Linked DNA regions of Danio rerio. The protein of the gene in region 3 interacts with the protein of the main gene of each other region in a biochemical or structural test. Links are inferred from orthologs where the notes say so. Each region holds a gene or a part of one and is shown on either strand. Other genes may lie near its edges.

The links.
Region 1: the proteins of mtor (region 3) and stat3 form a complex in vitro, tested with the Homo sapiens proteins (2 studies listed by BioGRID, with this or other methods). The link is inferred for Danio rerio from reciprocal best matches to the Homo sapiens genes MTOR and STAT3.
Region 2: of the proteins of mtor (region 3) and rps6kb1a, one has a biochemical effect on the other in vitro, tested with the Homo sapiens proteins (18 studies listed by BioGRID and IntAct, with this or other methods). The link is inferred for Danio rerio from reciprocal best matches to the Homo sapiens genes MTOR and RPS6KB1.

What each region holds. Positions count from the first base shown.
Region 1 is NC_133178.1:15,780,305-15,782,625, forward strand, and holds the end of stat3 (signal transducer and activator of transcription 3), read left to right. Parts: intron 1-1,197; coding exon 1,198-1,304; 3' UTR 1,305-1,744; downstream 1,745-2,321. UniProt on the Homo sapiens protein: Signal transducer and transcription activator that mediates cellular responses to interleukins, KITLG/SCF, LEP and other growth factors. Once activated, recruits coactivators, such as NCOA1 or MED1, to the promoter region of the target gene.
Region 2 is NC_133185.1:33,095,868-33,099,534, forward strand, and holds part of rps6kb1a (ribosomal protein S6 kinase beta-1), read right to left. Parts: intron 2,326-3,667; coding exon 2,218-2,325; intron 2,130-2,217; coding exon 2,067-2,129; intron 1,966-2,066; coding exon 1,888-1,965; intron 1,780-1,887; coding exon 1,672-1,779; intron 1-1,671. UniProt on the Homo sapiens protein: Serine/threonine-protein kinase that acts downstream of mTOR signaling in response to growth factors and nutrients to promote cell proliferation, cell growth and cell cycle progression.
Region 3 is NC_133183.1:56,036,590-56,040,256, forward strand, and holds part of mtor (serine/threonine-protein kinase mTOR), read right to left. Parts: intron 3,596-3,667; coding exon 3,487-3,595; intron 1,393-3,486; coding exon 1,160-1,392; intron 1-1,159. UniProt on the Homo sapiens protein: Serine/threonine protein kinase which is a central regulator of cellular metabolism, growth and survival in response to hormones, growth factors, nutrients, energy and stress signals.

The DNA.
Region 1 (2,321 bases), on a different chromosome or scaffold from region 3:
TTTTCAAAATTAATTTATAAAGAACTGTTGAATTTAAGTTTCTGTGTAACTGTAATGGGTTATATGCACATGGACTTTTAATTTTAGTCAGCCAGCCTCAGCAATCTTTCCATTTATAAAATTGCCATGTTAAGGTCTGATTTCTTTAAAAAATTAATGATATTCACTGCCTGATAGATATAGGATATAAAGTGGATCTCACACCGGCCAAGAAGAACTGCGTCAAATTCCATTTCCCGCCATCACATCTTAAAAATGTGGCCGTTTATTTTACCCCAGTGTTTCTACTGTCAGAGTTTCTGCGCTCGCCTGCTGATCCTGACTGCTAGTGGTTACTTGGTCTTTAATTTCGATTTCCCTTGAACAACTAAATAAATGAATAAGTCTATTCAACTGAATGTACTTTAACTACATTACAACATGGATGATGTAAAAGAAGCCATATGAAATTGAAAATAGTCACATTAACCTTTTACCCTTGTTTGTAACCCACAATCAATTTGTACATAAACGAAATATGGCAAAGAGAATGGGACAACTGCATAAAAAATAAATTACATGAAATTAACCCGTAAATAAACAAAAGGCATTTAGCAAATTATAGTTTTGAGACCAGACATGATCAAACGGTCTATACCAGATGTCGAATCGGACATTTTAGGTTTGCTGAATAACGAAGAATCACCTAAATGTAATGTACTGCCAGGCTGCTCTTACCATAAAACAGATTTTGTTGGAATGTAGAAGTTTAAAATCCATTTGACAAAATTTTTATAAGGAGGGTATTTTGATGGACATCTTTAAAAAGGTACCACCCGGAAGAGTTTTAAATTATTTATCAAAAATTGAACTGAAATATCATATTTAACTTTGAAAAAGAAATGTGTGCCATTTTATCTATTAATATTTTATATATTTGTCTATGTAACTTTTTTTTTGTAATATGAATTTGTTTTTATCATTTAATATTTTATGTACATCCATTTTGCCACGAAATAGCCATAAGTTGCTGATGTGGCAAGAAATAAATAATATATAAATAAATTAACCTTTCACAGGAAGTTTATCATTGGCTGAAAAACAAAAAACAAAAAAAATCCCTTACTTTTTTTTTTTGAGGATAAGTAATTTAATGAAAGTAACTTATTACAGCCAACCCACCTTCTTATAATACTGTGTGTTGCCATGTTTCCCCAGAATCCCTCACTCTGGACATGGAGTTGAGCTCTGATCATGCGTCACCCATGAGAGAAGGGTTTGCAGCCTCCACAGTCTCGGATATGGACACCTGCCGAAATGCTTAGTTTTCCAAGATTTTAGTTTCATTTTTTTTTTTTTTTTTTTCCATTGGGAAAAGCAATTTTCATGTATATAGTGAGCTTAGGTGCTACAACTGCTTTCTCTCTCCGAGCCAAATTTTGCATTTCTTTTTTTGATTTTACAGTCAGTCAAAAGTGCAAACAAGCTAAAGTTTTCATTTCAACCTCGACAATACTGAAGTTGACTTTAAAATTAAAAAAAAAAAAATAATAATGGTTACACTGTAAAAAATGCTTTTCTTGTTTAAAGTTTTTGTCTTGTTTCTAGTCCAAATATCTACAAAATCTTAAAGGGCACCTATTTTACCCCTTTTACAGGATGTAATAATCTTTTGGTGTCTCTAGAATGTGTCTGTAAAGTTTCAGCTCAAAATACTCATCAGATTATTTATTATAGTAACCAGAATCTGCACATTTCGGTGTCTGAATACAGTGTAGCTGTTTCTGTAGCATGTCTTTAAATGCAAATAATCTACTTCTCCCCACCCACCGTTTCCACATGCGTGTCTGCTTCTATTACACCCCAAGACTAGGGGAAAACAACATGGGCTTAATAAACGGGGGAAAAAGTGTTGTGGGTGGTGGATTTCCCAAACAAAACAAAAAACTTGATGCAAAAGATCCCCCTCGGACATTCAGATGAGAGTGGTTGATAGATTTATTATAGAAAAATAGGCCAAAATAACAAACAAAAGACAAAGTAAATGAACTAAATTACTTATGTATATTTAAAGAAAAATACAAGAAGCTTACCTTCCTCCTTAAATATAAACAGTCAAAAGTAATCAAATAAATAGGCAGGCCACCTCTACAAGCTCAAACTCTCAAAACGTTGCAAGCATGAACAGTTGTACAAGACTAAAGGTTGGTCGTCTGCCGGAGAGGTAGGGAAAATCCAGAAGCTCTCCACTCCCAGCAACCCTTGCACCACAAATGAGCTCCCCGAACCCTTCCGTAAGTTCCTTTTAATAGGCCTCTGCGACCAGCAGTCAATCAGAGCTT
Region 2 (3,667 bases), on a different chromosome or scaffold from region 3:
GAGTTCTCCCTTTTAACTGTTGGCATAACTATAGCAGCATGTATAATACTGAGGTTTTGGAAAGACAATGCTCTTTACTTAAATTATGAATGGAATTAATGACTGAGAATGTGTCGTTAGCCCAAATGAATGGCAGTCATAAGTAGGGTTTCTACAGGTTAAATTTAAGACATTTAAAGACATTTTTAAGACCATTATGAATTAAATTTTAGACTTATCTAGCATTAGCATTAGCTAAATGCTAAGGATTTTGTCGAATGGCTCAGTTGGAAAAAAATGTTTATTTGCCCTATCAAACTTTTTTTTAATTAATTGAATAAATGCAATAATATTTGAGTTAAATCTGAGTTAAATATTTTAAATATTGTGTCAAAGCAAGCAAGCTCTATTTGTATACATACACATTATTTCAACATAACCTTTCTTAAATATATATATATATATATATTAATGTTTTGAAGGTTTAAAAAAACTATAAAAAACTATGTATGCACAACAATCTGTCCAGGTCAGCTTCCTCAGCAGTAAATAAAGGAAATGAATTCAACCATCATGGTAAATAGAGTTAAACAAAAAGTTAAAAGTTTTATTGAAATGAATTGTTGGTGAGTGGATGGGTGTTAATGGCCTTGATTGGGTAGCTATACATGGACAAAGGAAAATTAAGACCTGTTAAAAAAAGATTTAAGACCCACAACACATAATGTGAGTAGGTTTAGGATGTTTTAAGGCCTACAATTTTGTTTTTGAGATTTAAGACATTTAAAGACACACTGATAAGAAAGTTGATCTATGGGAGAATTTCATTTCTTCACCTAAACAACAAACGTGTTTACCCTGTTGTGCTCTTTAGTATCATCTTTATGCATCTCTTACTGTTTTCCTAATTATTTTTTCTAATTTTTTAACAGTTTATTTTTCTAAACTGTGAAAAAAATTGTGTGCATTTTGTATGGTACTGTATGTTATATTAAGAGGAAACCAATAAAAACTACATTTTCAAAAAAATAAAAAAATAACGTAAAGTAAAGACAATTAAATTGAGGTGAAACGGTGGCGCAGTGGACATCACTGTCACCTCACAGCAAGAAGGTTGCTGGTTCGAGCACCGGCTGGATCAGTTGGCATTTCTGCGTGGAGTTTGTATGTAGTGTGTCTCCCATGTAGTGTATGCGTGTATGCCATGCTCCTCCAGGTTGGGGGTTGACCATTGGGCTAACAACCCACTTCATAAAAACTAGATGCTACCAAACACCAACATGGTGAGGCTAAATATCAACTTCAATATAAAATGGCCCTGGGAGTAAGTAGGTTAGGACAATTAAATTGCTACAAATTATTTAAATTTCAAGTTTTCCATATTTCTTGGGAAACAAATTAGCACGTTAGAAACATTTATGAAGAATTATGTGACTCTGAAGACTGGAGAATTTATGTAGAATATTCAAATTCATCATCATGGAAATAAATCAAATTTGAAAATGTTTAGAAATAGAAAACATCACAGTTTAACTACATCTTTGATCTAACATACACATCCTACTGCTCAAATCCATTCTAGATAAATGATCTGATGATTGCACAAACATAAATGCAACTCAGCTGGAGACACGACAGAGGTATAGTGTTGACACGGAGATAAATTTAGCCTAAAAAGTACCACAGACTCACCAGGAAGACTTGGTTGTCGCTTTCACTGAGCTTCGTGTCATCAGGGCTGTCCACGGGAGTCTGACTAGTGAACTTTGAGTCAAACTGGCTAACATCATCTGCGGATTGCTGCAAAAACATATATCTGTGAGGCAATGTGATCCAACACAACATATTACAACATACACAACACATGACTATTAGCAATAAGAGAAATCTGCAGAGAGTTGATCCTACCAAAAAGGGTTTGAATGGAGGATCAATTTTGAATGCCAGCAGATCATCCCAGTTTATGTGTCTGAAGAAAGAGTGGCGCTAAAAACAAATGCTCTTTTAAAAATACAGAACACTCCATTATATATGTAAATGTCAGGTATGCATGATTAATAGATTCAAAGTATCAGAAAAGCAGATACCTGGATGTCTAGAACATCTCTAGGACTTGCTCCAATCCGTACCGATGCATTTCTCTTCAGCAACTGGATGCAAATAGCAGGCACACACACAAACTCAGTTTAATTAAGCAATAAGACTGAATATCTCGCTAAAGCTGATTGACTGATTTACCTTTTTGAGGAGGTCTCGAGCCTCTTGGGTGAGGTACGGTGGAAGGTTTAGTTTGCACTTCAGGATTTTGTCAATGGTCTTTTTCCGATTCTCCGCTGTGAACGGGGGCTGAAAGTAAAAGGGTTTAAATGTTAAGAGCATGCAGTCGGGGTAAACTTAAGTTTGTATTCCCTGTACAACTCCTTGAGATATTTAAAATATTCACAATAAAGTTTACTTTGTTTTTACCCCTTGTGTGCTGTCAGGATTGTTTTCATCTACTCTGGGCTGATTTTAACTTCTACTTTGCCCACAAGTTTCTTTGCGTTTCAGCAAATGGTACGATTTTTGACACATATTTTGGGTAAATGCTTTGAAAATGTTCAAAAAGTTAACACATTCTGGGGAAATTGACTACTCTTTCGTTATGTTAGTGGTTGTTTTTGCCCCGTTGACTTCCATTATAATGACATTATTTGATTGCAAAGCCATGACACCCTACAATCATGCATGCGTCCTTGTTGCGAAGAGACAAATTTTTTATTTTTTGCTGTTGATCATCAGTTGCAGTACAAAAAAATGTAAGTTTCTGGCTTTTATCTTGAGTATAGTGTGTGTCTGTTACTGTGAGACCTTTCCTTCCCACTTACCTTGATATGTCAGAGAGAATCTAAATAAGCACCCCTGCTCTCAGGGCAAAGTAATCATAGTAAGTATATTTATACACGCACACTATAATCTGTTGTTTTACTCCATAGAACTCTATATAACAGCAAGACTTTTTTTTGCCCAGGCCTATTTAAAGGTTTAATGCTGCCAACTGATGATCAACAGTGAAAATGACAATTTTTACCTCTTCCCAACAGGGAAAACCACCAACAATCAAAAATGCATGATTATATGGTGTCAAGACTTTGGAATAAAAAAATATCAATATAATGGAAGTCAATGGGGCATAAACAGCCACGACTTCAGCCATGACTTCTCCCATAGAAATATGTAATCCCAAAGCAAAGAAAATTCATTTTAAAATTCTTCACAAAATATACCCAGTCAATGCATTTATCTCAGAATTAACTGATATTGCAGATACTTGCTCTCTCTGTCAGGAAAGTGAGGAAACTTTCACTCACGTGTTTTTTTACATTTAAAATCTCACAAAAGTTTTGGTCAGATTTACATAATTATTTGAATAAATCACAATCAAAAAAACAAATCTTTAAAATGAAAGATATTAATTGTTATTATTCTAGTCCCAAAAATAAAAATGAAGAATATATTTATATATTTTCTTATATTTTATGCGAAATTCTTTATCCACAAACAAAAATGTCTTAAATCCTCTCCCTCATTTGCACATTTTTTTAAATTATAATTGATTAATTGCTTAAAGGTATAGGTTTATCTAACAACAATTTTGCAAGTTAATAGAAACTTATGAAAATATCATGCTTCCAGCAAGTTAGTCTTT
Region 3 (3,667 bases):
TACTAAATGTAACCCCAAACCATGATTTTTTTCATCCCCAAACTTGACTGATTTCTGTGAGAATCATGTGTCCGTGTGGGTTTCAATAGGTCTTCTGCAGTATTTGTGATGATTGGGATGCAGTTCAATAGATGATTCATCTGAAAAATCTACCTTCTGATACTTTTACAAATGATCAACCAGAAGTCAAGTTATTATTTGTTGCTCTTACAACTGGAATCGATGACAAGACTTTTGTCAGGTAATGCGTATAATGTATGTGTGTGTACACATTTAAGTTATTTGTTATTTATATTTACATATGAGACACAGTATACATAAATTATGTAAATACAAGCTCTTGTATGCGATTAGTGGGCAGAGTTTTTAGCCCATCATTGAGTCTTATCTATTTACTTATTAAATTGTGTGTAGATTAATTTTTATTCATATTAATTTCAGTAATATTATTGACTGATATGCAAATGTTTATATAATTTATTTACAATAACAATAATACAATAATAATATGACATTTATGACTGGTTTTGTGCTTCTGGTCATGAATAATTTCAACTTCTACTTCATAAAATGGCATTGTCTCTCCTTAAAATGGGTTAGAAAATTGTCTTCAGACATTAAAGTTTTATAATAAGGTTTTTATCTCAGCATAACAGTGAGACTGGTTAAAAAAAAGTGTATTAAGGTTGATAATAGTGTATAACGGGCAATTTAGTTGTCAACTAAGGGTGCTTTCACACCTGTGAATCGATTCAGTTGTTCCGAAACAGAGATTACAATTGTTACATTGTTGCTCTTTGCTCTTGGAGCAGTTCGTTTGTGTTTGCGGGCATCCGAAGACTCGCGAAACTTCCTGCCCTACTCATAACTCTCTCTTCATATAGCCGTAAGCCTATTACATATGCACAAAACACTGTGATATAACCGCGCTCGGATCGGATCGCTTTCTCACTGCAATCGAACCGCTCCAGGGTTCGTTTCAATCGAGCCGAGACCACCTAATTCAAGCGATCTCGGAGCGATTACTTTGGCGCGGAACAGAGTGCGATTGCCCTGTTCACATATGCCAATCGAACCGCGCTAACTGGGCAAACAAGATACGTTCCGAAAAAAAAGTGTAGGTGTGAAAGCATCCTAAATAGTAATATGATCTACGCACCGCTGCATGTCGTCTGCCTTCATTCCTGTCTGCTCCCAGCCACTCCAGAGCTCTCTTCACCTCAAACTCCACATACTCTGCAGTGAAGGTGTCTCCCGCCATGGACAGGTGACCCATGGCTTTAGAGGCCATCTCCATGACCACTGAGTCACTGGACGGAAGCAGGTTCCGCAAATAGTTGGCAAAGCGGCTGATACGGGTGGCATTTCCTCCCTCCACTCCAATCAGGCTCACTGGATAGATGCATATTACACATTAGCTAAAGAAAACACATTTCAATCCATGCTATTTAATGGTCACACGTAATATTACCGCTTCAGTTTACATATTCTATTACAATATAAATAACAAAATATTTACAGTTGAAGTCAGAATTATTAGCCCCCCTGAATTATTATCCCCCCGGTTTTTTCCCCCCGATTTCTGTTTAACGGAGGGCAGATTTTTCCAACAAATTTCTAAACATAATAGTTTAATAACTCATCTCTAAAAACTGATTGATTTTATCTTTTCCATTATGACAGTAAATAATATTTGACTAGATATTTTTAAGACACTTCTGTACAGCTTAAAGGGACATTTAAAGGATTAACTAGGTTATTTAGGTTAACTAAGCATGTTAGGGTAATTAGGCAAGTTTTTGTATAATGATGGCTTGTTCTGTAGACTATCAAATGAAAATATAGCTTAAAGAGGCTAATAATAAATAGGTTTAAAAAAATAAAATAGGTTTAAAAAAATTAAAAACTGCTTTTATTTTAGCCAAAATAAAACAAATAAGACTTTCTCCAGACGAAAAAAACATTATCAGACCTACTGTAAAACTTTCCTTGCTCTGTTAAACATCATTAGGGAAATATTTAAAAAAGAAAAAAAATTCAAATGGGGGGGCTAATAATTCTGACTTTAACTGTATACATATATTTTTTCTGTATTGCTGTATAGCCGAATATGTGTTAGTTTTATTTATAATGTTACTTTATTTATCTTATTAATATTATTATTATTATTATACATTTTGTGTTTTGCCCTAAATATTCTTTTGGGTGCAATTATATACTGTTTGGTTTAGAGAAAAAGAAAATATGAATTAATTTTGTTTTCTACTATAGATTGGAACAGTTGATGTCTTACTGATTATTGTTAATATTTGATACTGTAACTGATACGCAGTGGCGGATTTAGGCATGGGCATTATGGACGGTCCCCGAGGGCGGCATCTTGCTGGGGGTGGCACATGAAGATGGTGCAAAAAAAAGTGCCCCAGTTTCAATCAAATGTGGCCTAGTAAAGCTTTAGAATACAATTTACTTTATGCAAGTGAATTCATTTGGGGTGGTAATCCCAGAATAAAGACGTTAGGGGTTATTCACATTTTGCATCTTTTGCACGTGCAAGTTTATTATTGTCTATTTGCAACTGAAACAACGCTGGTCAAAACAAATTGACGTATGTATGCAGAAAACAGTTCCCGCGTGCCTCACGCACTGCTCCTGCTCATGGTGTGAATCCTAGTTGTTTACATGCACGCCAATAAAAAACACGCCGCTCATGTGCTGTGAAACCAGAGTAACAGCGGTGCCGGCACGCAGCTAGTTTTGCAAGTCAACAAAGCTATTATTATAAGTTATTATATGATAATGATCTTTTTTTGAGCATGGCTATGAAGCAGAAAGGAGAGATGATGACACTTAATAACATTCATTCTCGACCATGAGTCGGGTCTAAAACAACAGATAATGCTATAAAACATATCTTTTGTATTCAATAGTTATCAAGTTTAATATTCATGCAGAAGATTTAAAAGTGATCTTAGCATATCTCTGCAGTTACATTGTTTTCATTTACATTTAGGATTGATTTGTTATTTATTTAGAATAATAGTTGTATAATAATAATAATTGTAATTGTTTAAAATAATATAAATAAATTGTTGTTTATTAAAAATAAAGAAATATATTTAAATGTATTTAATATATATATATATATATATATATATATATATATATATATATATATAATTTTTTTTATATATATATTTAAATGTGTATAAATATATATAAAATATATATGAAGTAAACCACATAGCGTCTTTATTACTAAGGGGATGGAATGTATTTGGGGGGGTTCGCCCACGGTGCCATTTAAACTAGAAACGCCACTGCTGATATGTATCAATAAAAAAAAAGTTAAACTAAAAAAATTAAATAAATATATATATATATATATATATATATATATATATATATATATATATATATATATATATATATATATATATATATATATATATATATATATATATATAAAGTGATTTTCATGCTCACCTATGGCAAGGATACCGCCTTTTTTCTCATTCACATCTGAGCTGGAAACCAACTCAAAAATGTGGTGGTTCAGTTCATCGTAGAAAGTGGTGGCTTCATCTTGGCTCAGCTTGAGTATGAAACAAAAACACAGCAAATAAAATATGTCTTGCTCGGTTTTGTAAGCTTCAAATAAGGATGC